2 linked regions of the Alligator mississippiensis genome follow. The protein of the gene in region 1 purifies or fractionates together with the protein of each later gene. This does not show direct contact. Links are inferred from orthologs where the notes say so. Each region holds a gene or a part of one and is shown in the gene's direction. Other genes may lie near its edges.

Region 1 (7,133 bases):
AAAAGAGAGGAACAGCACCTTCCAGGATCAAACAGCAAGGTTGAAAAGCAGCATAAAGTTAAGAAGCAGTATTTAATACCTCATAGGCCTTGCTAATTTGGATAAACTTATCTTCTGCTCCTGGATCCTTGTTTTTGTCGGGATGCCTACAATGCGAAAAGAAAATGAGAAAATGCATGTCATCCTCTAGGAAGTGATAGCAGCTTATCACAGGGAGTTGCACAACATGCCACAAAAGTAGGCTGCCTCGGCGTAATACTCATGCCAAATGGTATATGTAGATGTTAAAGACATTTAGTGGTATCCCCTGTTTAATCTGTCTGACATTTAAAGTAGATTTATGACAGGAGTCTGACCCCTGCCTCCCCCCACTTGGCTGAAGCACAAAGAATTTTAATGCCTGTTAGTTGTTTTAAACAATAGTATTAAATGGCCTCTTTTCTGCCTAGGTTCCCTGAGGACAGATGATAGATGCTGCAGTTCCGATGATAACTTTCCACATGTCGTACATCAGCTCTGCCCTTACATGTAAGGATACAAACTAGGATGTTGTGCAAACTAACGAATTTCCTTTGAAACGGGGCCAGCTTCCACTATGCATGCCATGAGTTGTACACAGAAGGCAGGGGAGGGAGCAAGGAGCATAGCTGCAGACTGGGTAAGGGAATGGGATTGGATTGGCATGCAGGGAGCATGCTGGCCTTCATTTGTGACATGCCTGCCAAAAAGATTGTCCCCCACTGCTTTAAAAGTACAATGCTCTAAATGCCCATGGAAAGCACCGGTGTGAGGTAGGTCGCATGCTGGCTTGTCTGTCTGTTTGGTGACATGTAAAGTCTCAAAACACATATACACATATATCAAAGGCAGTTTTAGTCAGAGATGGTATCAGACCAGTCTCTTCTCACTTGACTTCAATCTCCTAACTGCTTTTTAAAACTAAAGTTTAAGTGTGGATTATACTGGTATTTTTATTGTATGACACACATGTGCCAGAGCTTTTGCTTTATTTTTACCCAAAGCACAGCTTGATGAAGGTCACAGCTCGCTCGCTCTCATACTGATTTGATGAGTGTATGGATTAGCAACGTCTGCATCTAGTACTTTTAAACCTCTTCAAAGATTGATCTTAGGCTTGGTATTTAAGACTGTGTAAATTAAGTCTAGCACTGGCCTTACTGATCATCAGAAGGGGCTGTAACCTTCTCATCAGTAAAGTACCAGTGTTATCACCAAAAGTGAATGCTATACTCAATGTCAAAACTTGTTAATGTAATCCTATTATGTAAGGCATTAGATCTTAAATAAAAAATCACATCCTCCTGAAAACCTATTTCTAACTCCCTACTTCATTTCCAAGTGTTTAGCTGTCATAATCTTAAACACACACTGGAAACCTTCCAGTTAAATAAAACACACACACTTTAGTACCCCAATCGGTCCACTTGTGCATGTATGTCTAAGAGTACCAACATGCTTTCACTGTTTGCAGGATGAAGATCTTGGAAAAAGAAGACGGCTAGGTACAAGATGAACAAAAGTATACATTGTGAGTCTTAGAGTTTTCTTTCAATTCAGAAGTCTGTCTTCTAGGTGTATAGAAAACTTTACCTAAAGTCTGTCTTGATCAGAGTTCAAGTGTGTCCTGTTTTAAACAAAGTCCAGGAACTCTAATTACTTTGTTTAGGGAGCATTAAATAGATGCAATTAGAGACATTCACTTACAACCATCACCATCCTGCAACAACCCCTACGAAAGCCCCAAAGATAACAAAAGAAAATACATCTGTTCATACTCCGGATGATTTCACCAATAGATTATATTTCCCCCCCCCCCCATCTTATACAACATAAAATGTATCAGGCCTTCCAAAATCTAATACTCAACTACTCCTTGGTCCACGAATGTTAAGTTATAGGCCAAATTGGAACTTTGCATCTATAAAACCAAGGACCATGTCTCTTAATTTTTACTCTTGCAAGTAATCCTTTGTCCTATAGGGCAACAGTTCTCAACCTTTTTTTTTTTTTTTGTACCGGGACCCATTTGTAAACATGGAGGGCCAGTTCCGACCCAGTGTCCCCAGCCCCCCAGTGCATAGTACAGGGGGAGCCCCAAGCCACCCCTTCCAGGCTGGAGCTCTGCCTGCCTGCAAGGGAAAACCCAGTTTCCCATATTTTTTTCTCCTTTAAAGGAGAATCCATTTTTTTTTAAAGCTTGTCAATCCTTTTTTTAAAGTCTGCCCGTGACCCTTACACACACACACACACACACACACACACACACACACACACACACACACACACACACACACACACACTTTCCTCAACCCATGGGTTCATAGTTTCATAGTAGCTAGGGTCAGGAGGGACCTGAATGGATCATCTAGCCTGACCCCCTGCCACAAGCAGGAATGAAGGCTGGGTTCACAAGACCCCAGACAGGTGATCATCTAACTTCTTTTTTGAGTTTGCCCAAGGTAGGGGCGAGGACCACTTCCCTGGGAAGTTGGTTCCAGATTTTGGCCACCCTAACTGTAAAACATTGCCTTCTGATCTCCAACCTAAAACTATTCTCCATCAGCTTATGACCATTGTTCCTCATCACCCAGGTGGTGCTGGGGAGAAAAGGGCTCTGCCTATTTGTTGTCGATCCCCCCTGATGAGCTTGTAGGCAGCCACCAGGTCCCCCCTCAGCCTCCTCTTGCTGAGGCTGAACAGGTTCAGGTCCCTCCGTCTCTCCTCGTAGGGCCTGTCCTGCTGCCCTCTCACCAAGCGGGCGGCCTCCTCTGACCCCTCTCCAGGCTGGCCACATCCCTCCTGAAGTGCGGCGCCCAATACTGGACGCAGTACTCCAACTGCGGCCTGACCAAAGTCACATAGAGGGGGAGGATCACCTCTCTGCACCAGCTCGAGATGCACCTTTGGATGCGTGACAAGGTCTGGCTGGCCTTGCTGGCTGCGGTCTGGCATTGTTCATCTTGGAGTCAATAATGACTCTGAGATCCCTTTCTGCCTCTGTGCTTTCAAGAGGGGAACTCCCCAGCCTGTCTGTGTGCTGTGGATGCCTTCCCCCCAGGTGCAGCACCCTGCATTTGTCTACACTGAACCCCATCCTATCCTCATCCACCCATTTTTGTAGTCTGTCTAAATCTGTTGTGATGCAGAAGTAGGTGGCAAGAATAAACATCTTTCATATAATCACCCTAATCGGGGAGCCCGCGACTTGCGGCGTTTCGCCATTTACACCCACGTCATTACTCACGGCGCTGGATCCTCGCACTTACGGCACTACAGGGAAACTTTCAATGAGAAAAAAAAAAAGGGGCAGCAAAAAAAACCATCCCTGGATCAGTTTCTCAAAAAGCCGTCGAGTGGCTCCAAGTCTCCCCAAAATCTCCCCCAAAAAGCCCTTCTGAACGCCGTGACCCTGACGAAGACGTTCCTTCACCTTCTGTTTAAATACAATTTTACGTGATGCGTTACTGTACTGCCCTGTTTAATCGATTTGTATCCAGCGCACTTCAGGAAGCGTGGTACTGTCCATTTCAATAGGGTGTTTATGGTCATTTCTACAAAACCGTACGATAATATATTCTTGCCCCCTACTTTTGCACCATAGGGTGAATAGATGAAAGATATATATATATATATATATTTCTGGAAGCAAGACCAGCCTCAGCTCCATCATTTGCCTCAAACCGCAATGACGGGACAGCGGTGCTCAGCCCCCTGTGAGGGGCCGATCCCGGGGGGGGGGGGGGGGGGACGACGGGACGTACCACTCCCGGGCGAGGCGCTTGTAGGCCTTCTTGATGTCGGCAGCGCCGGCGGCGCGGCCCAGGCCCAGCACGCGGTACGGGTCGAAGTCGGCGGCCCACGGGCCCGGCAGGGCCAGCGCCAGCACCAGCACCGCCGCCGCGGCCGCGCGCAGCACCCTCGGCTCCATGGGCCCGGCCCGGATGAGACCCGCCGCCGCTTCCGGCTTCCCGCCCCGCCCCTCGCGTCACCATGGACACGGCACGCTCACTTCCGCTCGGGGGGGGGGTGTGTGGAATCCGCGCGCGGGGCATGCTGGGGTGCAGGAGGCCGGATGTGCGGCGCGGCGACGTCACATCCGGGCGATGGAAGCCGAGCAGCGGCAGCGCTTGCAGCGGGGTCGCGTGCGGCTGGTGCGGGGCCTGCAGCTGGAGGCGCTGTGGGGGCCGCTGGTGCGGGACGGCGTCTTCTCCCGCGACATGCTCGACGACATCCAGGTGCCGGCAGCCTCCCTCCCTCCGCTCCGCTCCGCTCCCCGCTGCTTGGAAATGCTGGCTTCTGGGCCCGGGGTGCAAATCAATCGTGTCCCCTGCCTTACAGAGAGCAGGCTCTCCGAGAGACCAAGCCAGGCAGTTACTGATAGACCTCGAGACCCGCGGGAAGCAAGCTTTTCCTACCTTTGTTTCCATCCTACGCGAAACCGGACAGAAAGACCTGGCGGATTTCCTGAGTGAAGGATGCGCTTTCCCGCGGCCGTCCTCAATTGACATAAAACCCATTGAAATCGGGCCGCGTGGCGGAAGGGGCCGTGCAGGTAAGTGTCGATGCGACCGCCGTAACGAGCAGCAAAACACAGCGTTCGTAAGCCCTCTTGCTGTGGCGGTACCGGAGAGCGGCTAGTGGCCTGTTCGATGCGATAGCCCGTCTGTCATCCAGAATCGGGTGTCAGCCCGCGCAGCGTTTGGGAAAGGGCAGCGCGGTTCGGCGTTACTCACGAGTTTTATCTGCAGCTACGTCCCAGGAACTTGAGATGGATGTTCTTGCATACAAGTTCTTGATTGATGTTATATTGCATGTAATCTCTCTGGCGCCTCACATCTGAAGTCTGAGGGCATATGTTTCTCTCTGCATCAGGAAGACGCTGTTTGCCTTGATTTAAAGAAGGGATTAGACCTCAGATCTGGGTTCCGTTCCTAGGCCGGTGGCTGTTGGAGAGCCATAAAGCTCATAGTTTTCTCTGCTGCAACATGGGGATAAAGCTTATCTATCTGGCAAAAGACATACCAGGCAAAGCTAAAATACAAGGCATGTTTTAGCTTTGCCTCGTATGTCTTTTGCCAGATAGAATTAGACATTTTGATTATCTATCTGAATTAGACATACGAGGCAAAGCCAAAAGACATACGAGGCAAAGCTAAAGTTTTCCTTGAAGGAAAGGAACTATAAATGCACAAAACATCTGTAATTCGAGGACCAGTGCTGTTTTTTTGTCAGAGATCTGTGTTGTCGGTTGGGTAGCTGGTTCTATTAACAGCTTACTTTTCATTTTCAGGTTCCCTTTGTTGCCCCTTATTTTATAGCGTGCTCTAAGTGTTGCTGGTTGTTTCACCAAACCCTTAAAGGCATTGCTTAGTCTTAAATGGATAGATCATGCCTTGCAGAATAGTTGAGATGTTGCAAAGATATTTGGCTTAGGGGAAGTCAGTGAGAGAAAGACGAGCATTTGCAGGAAGGAGGTGGCCTTGGAAGGCTATTTGCAGAATAATTGGTGGCCAGAAAGATGCATGTTGCAGTTAAGAAGGGGAAGGACAGGTGCTGGGTTCAGCTGGGGGGGGGTATAGGGGAGGGTCAGATGGAGTTTTAGGGAAGAAAGAAGTGGAGAGGCATCTTTCTGAATGGACTAGCCTTTTCAGGATGCTTGATTTCTTTAGGGTACGCACAGGAGAAGTTGCTGTCTATAAGCACAGCCCAGGAAGAAAGGAACAGTAGTGAAAACACTTGGCTCACAATTCCCACCCAGATCACTGCACAGTCTTGTTCTAGTTTCATCTCATGCCATATCATTAACAACAGGGACTGAGCCCTACAGTGAAAGGATATAAATGATACCTAGCACCCAGGCAGTAGGGCAAGATATTCAATTGCCTGCAACAAGCAGTGCTCCAAACAACTCCAGAGACAGCCTGCTGTCTGCTTCACACACCCTACCTCTGACAGGAACCTGGAGGAAGAGGGGTACTTCAAATGTCCTGTGCCTTTTCAGGTGGGAGAGACTCTGAGTATTTGCCTCTGCCAGTCCAAGCCAGGACTGAGAGAGACCAAGAATTGGACCATCCTGGTACAGTGGCTCACAGTAAGTAGTCTCTTGGTAGGTAAGACCTAAGTCCTGGCAGTTTCTCTGTCCTTCCCCTGCTTCTCTGAGGAAGCCCTTGACCACCTATCCCTCTGGGAGTCTCACAGTATTTTTCATGTTGGGTTAATCTCCCTGAATGCCATGCTGCCTGGAACACGTGAGAATTGTATAACTGGAAGACATTATAGAAATACAAAATGCACCTTTTGCTCCACTCTTCCCTTTCCCTGTAGCTTTCTCTATACGTGCTGGGCTTCCCTGTACCTTACTGTTCAGGCATCACTGCTGAACAGTGATTTTTTTTTTTTCCCCCTGTGTGCAGTGAAGGGACAGCAAATCTGCTGCTTTTCCCTGCGAAGCTTGTACCTGCATGTCTCCTCTTCAGGCCATAGTGTTGGTACACATCATGAGCTGTTGTCTTGGGATCTTCCTACAAGCTCAAAACAGCTAGAGAGGAATAAAAGGGGGTTAAAACAAAGGCTTTCTCATGTTGGCTCCAACAGGGAAAGACGTAATTAACAGAAGGGATCTCATCAGAAAGACACATGGATGCCATGCCATGGCATTATTGGTTTTAAGATGCAGTATAACAAATGTGAGCCAATGTTTGTGTTGGTATTAATGCTGTGAATCTAAGTCCAAGCCTCTTGCTAATGAGTTGCAGGTGCTTGCTTGGAGCTGAATGTCAGGTCTGTGTGTTGCAGGTGCTGCTGCAGACAGGTTCAGACAGAACTCCGATATGGTCAGTGTCCTTTTTCTGTGCATCTTTTTCTTGCTTGTGTCCTCTCTGAGCTGTCCAGTGCCAGCTCCTGTCGCATCCACCTGATGCCCCATTTTCAAAAGGGAATCAGGCATTTCTAAGCCTAAGGCTCATTGACAATCCAAAGGGCTTTGGTCCAGATTGTTAAGGGGATTTAAGAGCATAGATCCAGTGGTAGTGAAGTGCTCAAATACCTTTAACAGTTAGCAGAGGGAGCTGACCCCAAGGCTCATCTAGCATCTCTATCCACTGTGACGATGG
Region 2 (7,851 bases), on another chromosome or scaffold:
GTACCAGGAGGTGCAGGCATGAGGAGTTAACTACCAGGAGAGAAGGGGAGCAGGTACTTGCACACACAGGCATGGGGGCCAGGCATCAGGGGGACAAGTGGGGGGGGGATGGGTGGCAGGAAGCAAGGTGCAGGTGGGCAAGGGGCTGCTTAATTACCCCCACTGCCTCCCCAATACTGGCTCCCCCAGCACCTGCTCCCAAGAATTATATTTGATACATGGAAAATTTTAACAAATTTATAATTTTCCCAGGTATAGAATGTAATTATTCAAGGGTTGCCTTAAATTCAGAGTCATCTTGGATTTGAGTAAATTTAGTATGTGATTCCACTTCCAGGAGAATTAGGTGGGTGACAGGCAAGTAAGTTGCAAGAGATCCCTCTGGTTTCTCAAGTACTGGTAAGGTTTTCATTACCATAGAGATCTCAGTCTGACCTAAAGCAGGACACGATCTACTTTTATAAGGCAGTGACTGCATACATGTGCTGGTTCATAGATTATATTGAACGATTCTTGCCTTAAATGTTAATGAATTAGAAAGTCAAAGTTGCAGTAGAGTAGCAGTGAGTGTCCTTCACATAGGTTTGAACTGGGATCTACATCCAAACTTCTCCAAATTTCAGAGAAATTTAACGATGAAGACAGAGATGTTACTTTTGGCCTCTCATAGATGCAGGCTAAAATCAGATGTTTCATACCTCTAAATCAGGGGTGGGCAAAATGCGGCCTGTGGGCCAGATGCGGCTCACCAGGCCATTCTATCCAGCCTATGGGGCCCCTAAAAAAATAAGAAAATTAATATTTATCTGCCCCCAACTGCCTGTCATGCGGCCCTTGATGGCTTGCCAAAACTCAGTAAGTGACCCTCTGTCCGAAATAATTGCCCTCCCCTGCTCTAAATAAAACCATGTCCTGTTCTCACTGTTCTCACGTATGCTTAAAGGATCTCTCTTTCATTAACAATGACCTCTGTTCCTATATCGAAGTTGAGCCTTATGTTGCTTTTGCGTGACAGCAGATTGAGGCGTGTAGAGTCATAGGTTTGAGAGGGACTGCATGTCATCCAGTCCAATGTCCTGTGCAGATGTAGAATCAAGGGTGCAAGATACAGAAATGTCGAATTCTGTTAGTGTCACCTGTATGAATGAAAGACACGCCATGCTGGTCAGGCCATGTATCCATCTAGCCAAGTATCCTGTCATTGTCAGTGGCAAGTAATAGATACTTTAGGGAAAGAATATAAGGAACAGGGCATGTGTAGACTGATCCATTTCCTGTCCAGCTCTTCCAGCCATGCTGATCTATCTAGCAATGGCAGCCACACATGACTTCAGCACTAGATTTCCAAATGTTTCTCAAAATTGGGGCCAGAATTTCAAAAAGACTCAACCAGTGTGCAGCTTAACGTTTTTGCAAATCTGATCCAGCTTGGACCAGAGCACTTTTGAAACCCTGACTCCTACCTAAAACCATAGACTTTCAGTTTATATTATTTGTTGGTCTGTGTCTTTTCTGAGATGTTACCTGTCTATACAGCTTCTTAGGGTGCTAGGTAACCCTCCCCCCCTCCCTTTTGAAGTCCATGTCTTTTGAAACTGCTTATGCTGAAGGTACTGTGGCAGATCCTTAGCTGGAGTAACTTCTTTTACCTCTGCTATTCCTGTATTTCTTTGCAAAGAAACAGCACATGGCCTCACTGGTTTGTCAGAGTCCCCTATCTAGTTTCTGTGAGAAGAACACAATGTTATGAACAGTTCAATCCTGCTAACACAAAATTATTTATTCCCTATTAGGTGAATTATATGTTTGCTTTTGAGCACAGGTATTGGATATCACATGGGCAAGGTGTGCAAAAGTACAACCACAATTTGGCCCCCAGTTTGGTGTTTAGTTTTGTAGGGTGAATGGGATAGCCAAGGAAATATTTAAGAGGCAGCAGAAAATATGAGAGTGGAAATGTAAGCAATGTAGTAGGTTTTGGAGTCATCCACACAAGGGTCATAGCTGAAGGCATTGGGATGGGACTTTCCATAAAAACAGAGAGAAAGGAGATAAACAAATGGAAGAGATTTGAAGAAAGTCAGAAGGTAAGGGGAGAAAAATGACCACATGGTGAAGGACCAATAAGCAAGGTAACAGCAAAACCAAAAAAGTAGAGCATCATATAGAGTAGAGCATCTTGGGATCATAGGCTTGGAAGGGACCTCATGGGTCATCTCTTCCAAGTCCCTTTTTGGTGAACTCCATATTGTTTTTGAATTCATAAAATGAATTGTCTTCAGTTGCTCCTATGGGAAGTCTTCTGAGACAAATGTCCTCCTAGCTCAATAGATAGAACTTCAGTATTATAGATCTCCTTGTGACATAGCTGATGTCTTCATTGAGGCTGTTAGTTACTCACAGACCCTGCAGCTCCTGGCTTTCCCACTTTTCAGACTAAGGATAAAGCTTGTACTGTGGTGTCACCATGCAGAGCCTACCTCTGTTTGACTTGGATTAAATATTCATAGGAAGGATCACTGGATGCATTACATCAGAATCAGTCCACTTCATTTTTCTTTCCATCTTCCCCAAAAAGGATGAGTAATGAAGCAGCTTCTAGAACAGGCATGGTGAACCCGCCATGCATGTCTTGAGTGGTACAGGCAGCTGCTGCGTGTGGCACATGAGTCCTGGGCACTCAATAAACAGGGGCACCAGAATAGAGGTAGAGTGGCTCAAGTCTGTGACCAAGTGGAGCAGAAGGAGAACAGGACACTGCTATGAGAGGAAGTGTTGGGTGTGATTGCCAAGAGCCAGATTAACCCTCCCCTGGCTTTGCAGCCACCGCTGAATTAAGGACTTTGGATCATTGCTAAAACTATGGTGGTTTTGGAACCAGGGGATGGTTAACTGACTTTTGGTGGTGACATCTCCTCTCACCGCAGTGTTCTGCTCCCTGTGTTGCAGACTCAAACCCCACCATTTCCATTTGATATGGGAAGGTACAAAGTCTATCAAGTACACCTCAAGAGGGTGGGGATCAGAACAGCACTTAGGGCAGGAGAAGGGCTTAGCTTGAGCCACAACTCCCCCCAAAGAGATTGACCACCACTGCTTTACTTTATGAAAGCAAAACAACTAGAGCTCATAAACAGCTGGTAGAAAATTAGAACCAATTCAAAATAACGTTGAGAAGGTCTGACCTTGCTGCACATGAAAGGTATTTAAGGTCTGTATCTTATTTTTCTATTCTATTGTATGGGATTTAAAACTCCTATGGGAATTTTGTCCAAGTAAGGACACCAGGACTAGGAATGTCATGCAGGACAGTTCTTGAGAAGTGCTTTTTTAGATAAACAGCCACCAAAAAAGAGGATCAGACCTTTGTTAACATTTCATCAGAAGGCCTCCACTTTATGACTAAATACAGACAATCAAAATCTTCTCAAGTTAGTCTAAGCTGTGTAGCTTGAACTGATAAGGAAAGCGAACAGGCACATACTTTTGATCCATAAATGCAGCCACATGCCTGCAGTGGCCCAGGCCAGAAGCCAGGGAGCATTAGAGCAAAGCTTCCTGCTGGAGTAGAGCAGACGGTTTGGACCAAAGTATTGTGGGATGCTGGGGGACTTTGAGTTAACTTGAATCTGGAGGGGATATGGGACAGAAGTTCAATAAACTGATTTAACCTAAATCAGTTAAGTTTGAGATTATATCCATCTAGGTTTATCTCAAACAAGTTTTGGCCATTTTGAAAGGAGTTTATGTGCATTGAACTTCTGTTGTATTACAGATTTGGACTGGTTTCCGATCACTTATACCGGTTATGTGTAATTTCTTCCCCTAGCCTATAACTACATAACATCCTCTCTTGAGTAAATGCATGTCATCCTTTATAGGTCTATAGTTCTTTATAGTTCTAGCAGCAGGCATCTCAGTGCCCGGTGAGATGCCTGCAGCAGGCATCTGAGATTATAAAGTGCTGTGGAGCACCCTTTGGAGCTCTTTTCCATTTAAAAAGGACAAAGTTGTGAGTCAAATTGTGAAAGATGATGACTCAGTATATTTGTGCAGCTCTTCTGGGGGATAGTTGATCAAGGCAACAATTAACGAGAGGCTGAGGACTAGAATAAATCAACTGGTTATTTGACCCATGCTGTGCTAAAGCATGTGCTGCAGAATAAAATAATACTAGGAGCATAACATTACCATTGCCCACGCTTGTATTTTTTTTATCACAAGACTTGTGATAGTTTGGTGTCTTGTATATAATGTCACCTTCCAGACTCACAGCTTTTTCGTGCAAATGTTGGCTTTTATTTTACATGGAACGTTTCCATCTCATGATTGCAAAAAAATAGATGTGGAAAAAAGTGGATATTAAAATCTCAAGATCCAAAAGATAAATAAAAAAGAGATCCAAGTTTCTTAGTAACCAAAAGGCTTTTATATAAAATTAAATTATACTTTTTTTTTAGATGCCAAGCTCCTGACTTCTGAATGCTTTAGATTTGCAGCGTGTGTGTGTGTGTAAAATAGCATGTTCTGATTACTGATTTAAATAACTGTCAGTGCAGGTCAAATTCACAGGAGCACGTGAAACAAATCAACCAAGCCCTCTGCAATCCTAAACTAGGGAGCTTTGCAGTGACAGGAGCAAGAGCAATATAAAGTGGGGAAATGCATTGTATTAATTAGCTCCATTGAGGAAAAGTTACTTCCCAGGCTTTGCCTACAGAGGGCATCCCAGCTCATTCATATGTAGACTCAGCAAATATAGCGGCTGAAGGCAGCCGGGCTCAGTCAGTTCTTTTTTCCCCCCTTCCAGTGGAATCTTTTTCCCTGATCCAGTTGGTTTCTCTCCGCTCTCCACGTTTTCCCTTCCAGCCCTCCACTTCTTCGGATCAATGGATGTTACAGCTCTAACTCCCATCTCACATACTGCTGGTGGACAGCTCCAGTAACAAGTGAGAGCTTTACATCCTTTTCTCTCCCTCTCTCTTTTTTCCCCCCTCATCAACATCTGTCAAGAAGGAGGAAAATCACGAGCTCTTTTGTTTTCTCCCGACTTTTTCTCTCTCTTTTTTTTTTTGGTACTTTAACGCAGTGATGGAAACGGACCAGCCCCCCGTCATCTGATGCACCCTGGACAGCTATTTTTTGTCAGGATTTTTCTATGTATGGTTTTCCAACAGTGGGAAGATCCTTCCCCATCCTTCCCTTTTTTCCTTGAGTTAGTTTCCTGACACATTCTGGAGGCTTGGAGGCTGCTGGACTGAATGTAACTTTTTTTTCCTTCCCCCCCTCCCTCCTTTTCCCTCTGCTGATTCCCGTCAGCAGGGACTGAAAAAGAAAAAAAAGAAAAAAGGAAAAAAACAGAAGAGAAGGAGGCAGAAGGGGCTGTGTGTGCGTGTGTTTTGTTGTTGCTGGTGCTCAGGACCCAAATCTCTGTAGGTGTGTGTTGAAATATGGAGAATAGTCTTGGATGTGTTTGGGTACCAAAGCTGGCTTTTCTACTCTTCGGGTTTTCTCTGATCAGCCTGCATCTTCAAGTCACCGGTAAGTCATCTCTGCCTTATTTGCTTCTGCACTACACAGATAATGGGTGGATTTTGTCGAACCTGAAGGAATGTGCCCATTTCTCATGTGCTAACAGACTTTGTTTTTCCACCCCCTCCACTCTCGATTTGGTTTTTGTTGTTCGTCAGGGTAAGCTCTTGCAAGTACTTGACATAGATTTGAAGAGAGAGAGAGAGAATTGGGCTGAGAAGCACCTTGTGTAGCCTTTGAAAAAAGGAGAGCCACTAAAAGGAAGGAAACCCATAAAAATAAAGGAGAAATGTGGGAGGACGTAGCAGTAGTGTGTGTGTGCGTGCGTGCGTGTGTGTATGGAGGGGATGGTTCATATTCTTTTTTGCACCTAATTCCTCTTGCTATTGGATATATTTGCCAGTAGCCTTTGGGATCTTTAGGCTGAGATTGAGGGGAAGGGATATTTTGAGAGGGGGAAGGAGCGTGGAAAGGGAAATGAAGAAAACCGAAATACTAGTTGAGGGGACAGAAAATGCAGTTCTCTCTGAAGCCCCTCCAAACTCCTTTTGATTGATATTCTTTGGGGTTGTCTCTCTTGCACTTGGCAGGCACATTTTCTAATTAAAAATGGCAAAGCCAATTGTGTATTGAATTGGAATAGAGAAGGAAAGAGGGGGAAATGATACAGTGATGCTGAGGGGCCATCTATGCAGGAGATGGAGCAGAGCTGGGAATTTGAGATTTCTTTAAAAAAAAAATGAAACAGCAGCCTTATCCAAGAAGTGTTAGGAACTAAAAAAGTGCAGTGTTGATTTGTAGGTGGCTAGGAGTGTGAGAGCATGGGGGTAATGGTGAGGAGAGGCGGGGGGAAATGTGTGCGAAGAAATATTATTCTCCAGTGATCATTGGATTTGTCTCCCAAAGAAAATGAGCAGTGTTTCATTAGGAGGGATCTCAGGAAGAGAGAAGCCACGAACTGCAACAATAAAATAAACACACATGCATACAAATTGCTATCACACCAACTACTGATGAACAATAGAAGCGGCCCCCCCCAACACACACACAGTCACACACATGCACACGGACACTACTAAAGCAGCTTTTTGTAATGGGGAAAGTGCTGCAGATGAAGCCTTTGCAAAAAGATCTTCACTCTGTTGTAGCATCATTCAGGTTGTCAGCTGTATGCTAATGGAAATGCCTTAAATTGTTTGTGTAGATGAGGTTCCTTTTTCCAAAAAAATGTTTCATTTTTTTTGGGGGGGGGGGGTCTTTTTTGTGTGTGTGAGGGCTAACAAGTGAACTGGAAGATGCTTCTATTAAATACAAGGAGGCTCATTTGTGTGTGACTGCATGTGTGCAATGTGCATGTCTCTCTCAGCATTGTCCTCTGCAATTACTTGTATGGAAGGTGGGACCTGGCAATCAGAGCAGGATAATGAATAGGTGTCTCTCTTGAATTTGCAGCTTAAAGGCTAGTAGATGGGAGACATGTCAATGATCCTCCTTCTTGAAAGATGATTGACTTGCAGGCTTCTTTCCTGACATACAGTGAGATGGAGAGTGTGTGTGTGTGAGGACGGGAGTGAAGAAAGCCCTATACTGTATGGAGGGCCAAACCCACACTGCAAACAAGCTGCCTTCCTGGTACAGAGGGGAGTGGTGTCTGCTGCTATTATGCAGAAAAGTAATTATAGGAGCAGGTTGTTTCCTAGCTGGGCATTTTATTTGTGCATATGTTGCTACCTTTTTGTAGCATGTATTTGTTCATCACGCTGCGTTTGGAGCCATGAATCTGTACGTTGCAGCAAGTTCCCTGGCCTGTGCTTTGCTTTGCAAGCTAGAATTCTGCAAAGTTTTTCTTGTGTTGAACCTCTGGATCTTTTCTGAGGTGTCACTCCTCAAAGATGTGGTTATTTTAAGTCCCATTTTATAACCTGGATTCAGCTGACAAAATAAAAAAGACCTTGCACCTTTAAGGTAATGCTGTTCAAATGTCTTTGGCTTCTGCTCATTAATCTCTGAATTTCCACTCCACCTCTTAGCAGCTTTTTTCTCCCTTCAGAAACCTAGCAGGGGATTGATAGTAAAGAAAGCATAATTCACTCTCTGAAAGGACCAGTAGGAGGTGCCCTTAATAAGGCCAAGTAACTGGTTTGCTGCTTGGCAAAATTCCCATTCAGCAGGGCATTTAAAGACTTTGTTGACTGGTAACAAAGGGCTTATAGAGATGCAACACAATGGGGCTGTGTCCTTTCACACTTCCTCACTAAAGCCCAAAGCTGGTTTGGAGATGTAAGAATTTGTTTAAAACTTTAATAATAAAGAGCTGTA

What was found. The genes of interacting proteins can lie anywhere in the genome.
Region 2: the proteins of CASP9 (region 1) and DCC purify together in Homo sapiens (co-immunoprecipitation; 3 studies listed by BioGRID and IntAct, with this or other methods). This does not show direct contact. The link is inferred for Alligator mississippiensis from reciprocal best matches to the Homo sapiens genes CASP9 and DCC.

Annotation. Positions count from the first base shown.
Region 1 is NC_081836.1:5,599,380-5,606,512, forward strand, and holds the start of CASP9 (caspase-9), read left to right. Parts: upstream 1-4,104; 5' UTR 4,105-4,124; coding exon 4,125-4,256; intron 4,257-4,359; coding exon 4,360-4,573; intron 4,574-6,022; coding exon 6,023-6,112; intron 6,113-6,801; coding exon 6,802-6,854; intron 6,855-7,133. Other genes in the region: DNAJC16 (dnaJ homolog subfamily C member 16), read right to left, coding at 80-146, 3,783-3,949. UniProt on the Homo sapiens protein: Involved in the activation cascade of caspases responsible for apoptosis execution. Binding of caspase-9 to Apaf-1 leads to activation of the protease which then cleaves and activates effector caspases caspase-3 (CASP3) or caspase-7 (CASP7).
Region 2 is NC_081826.1:287,262,708-287,270,558, reverse strand, and holds the start of DCC (netrin receptor DCC), read left to right. Parts: upstream 1-4,827; 5' UTR 4,828-5,450; coding exon 5,451-5,541; intron 5,542-7,851. UniProt on the Homo sapiens protein: Receptor for netrin required for axon guidance. Mediates axon attraction of neuronal growth cones in the developing nervous system upon ligand binding. Its association with UNC5 proteins may trigger signaling for axon repulsion.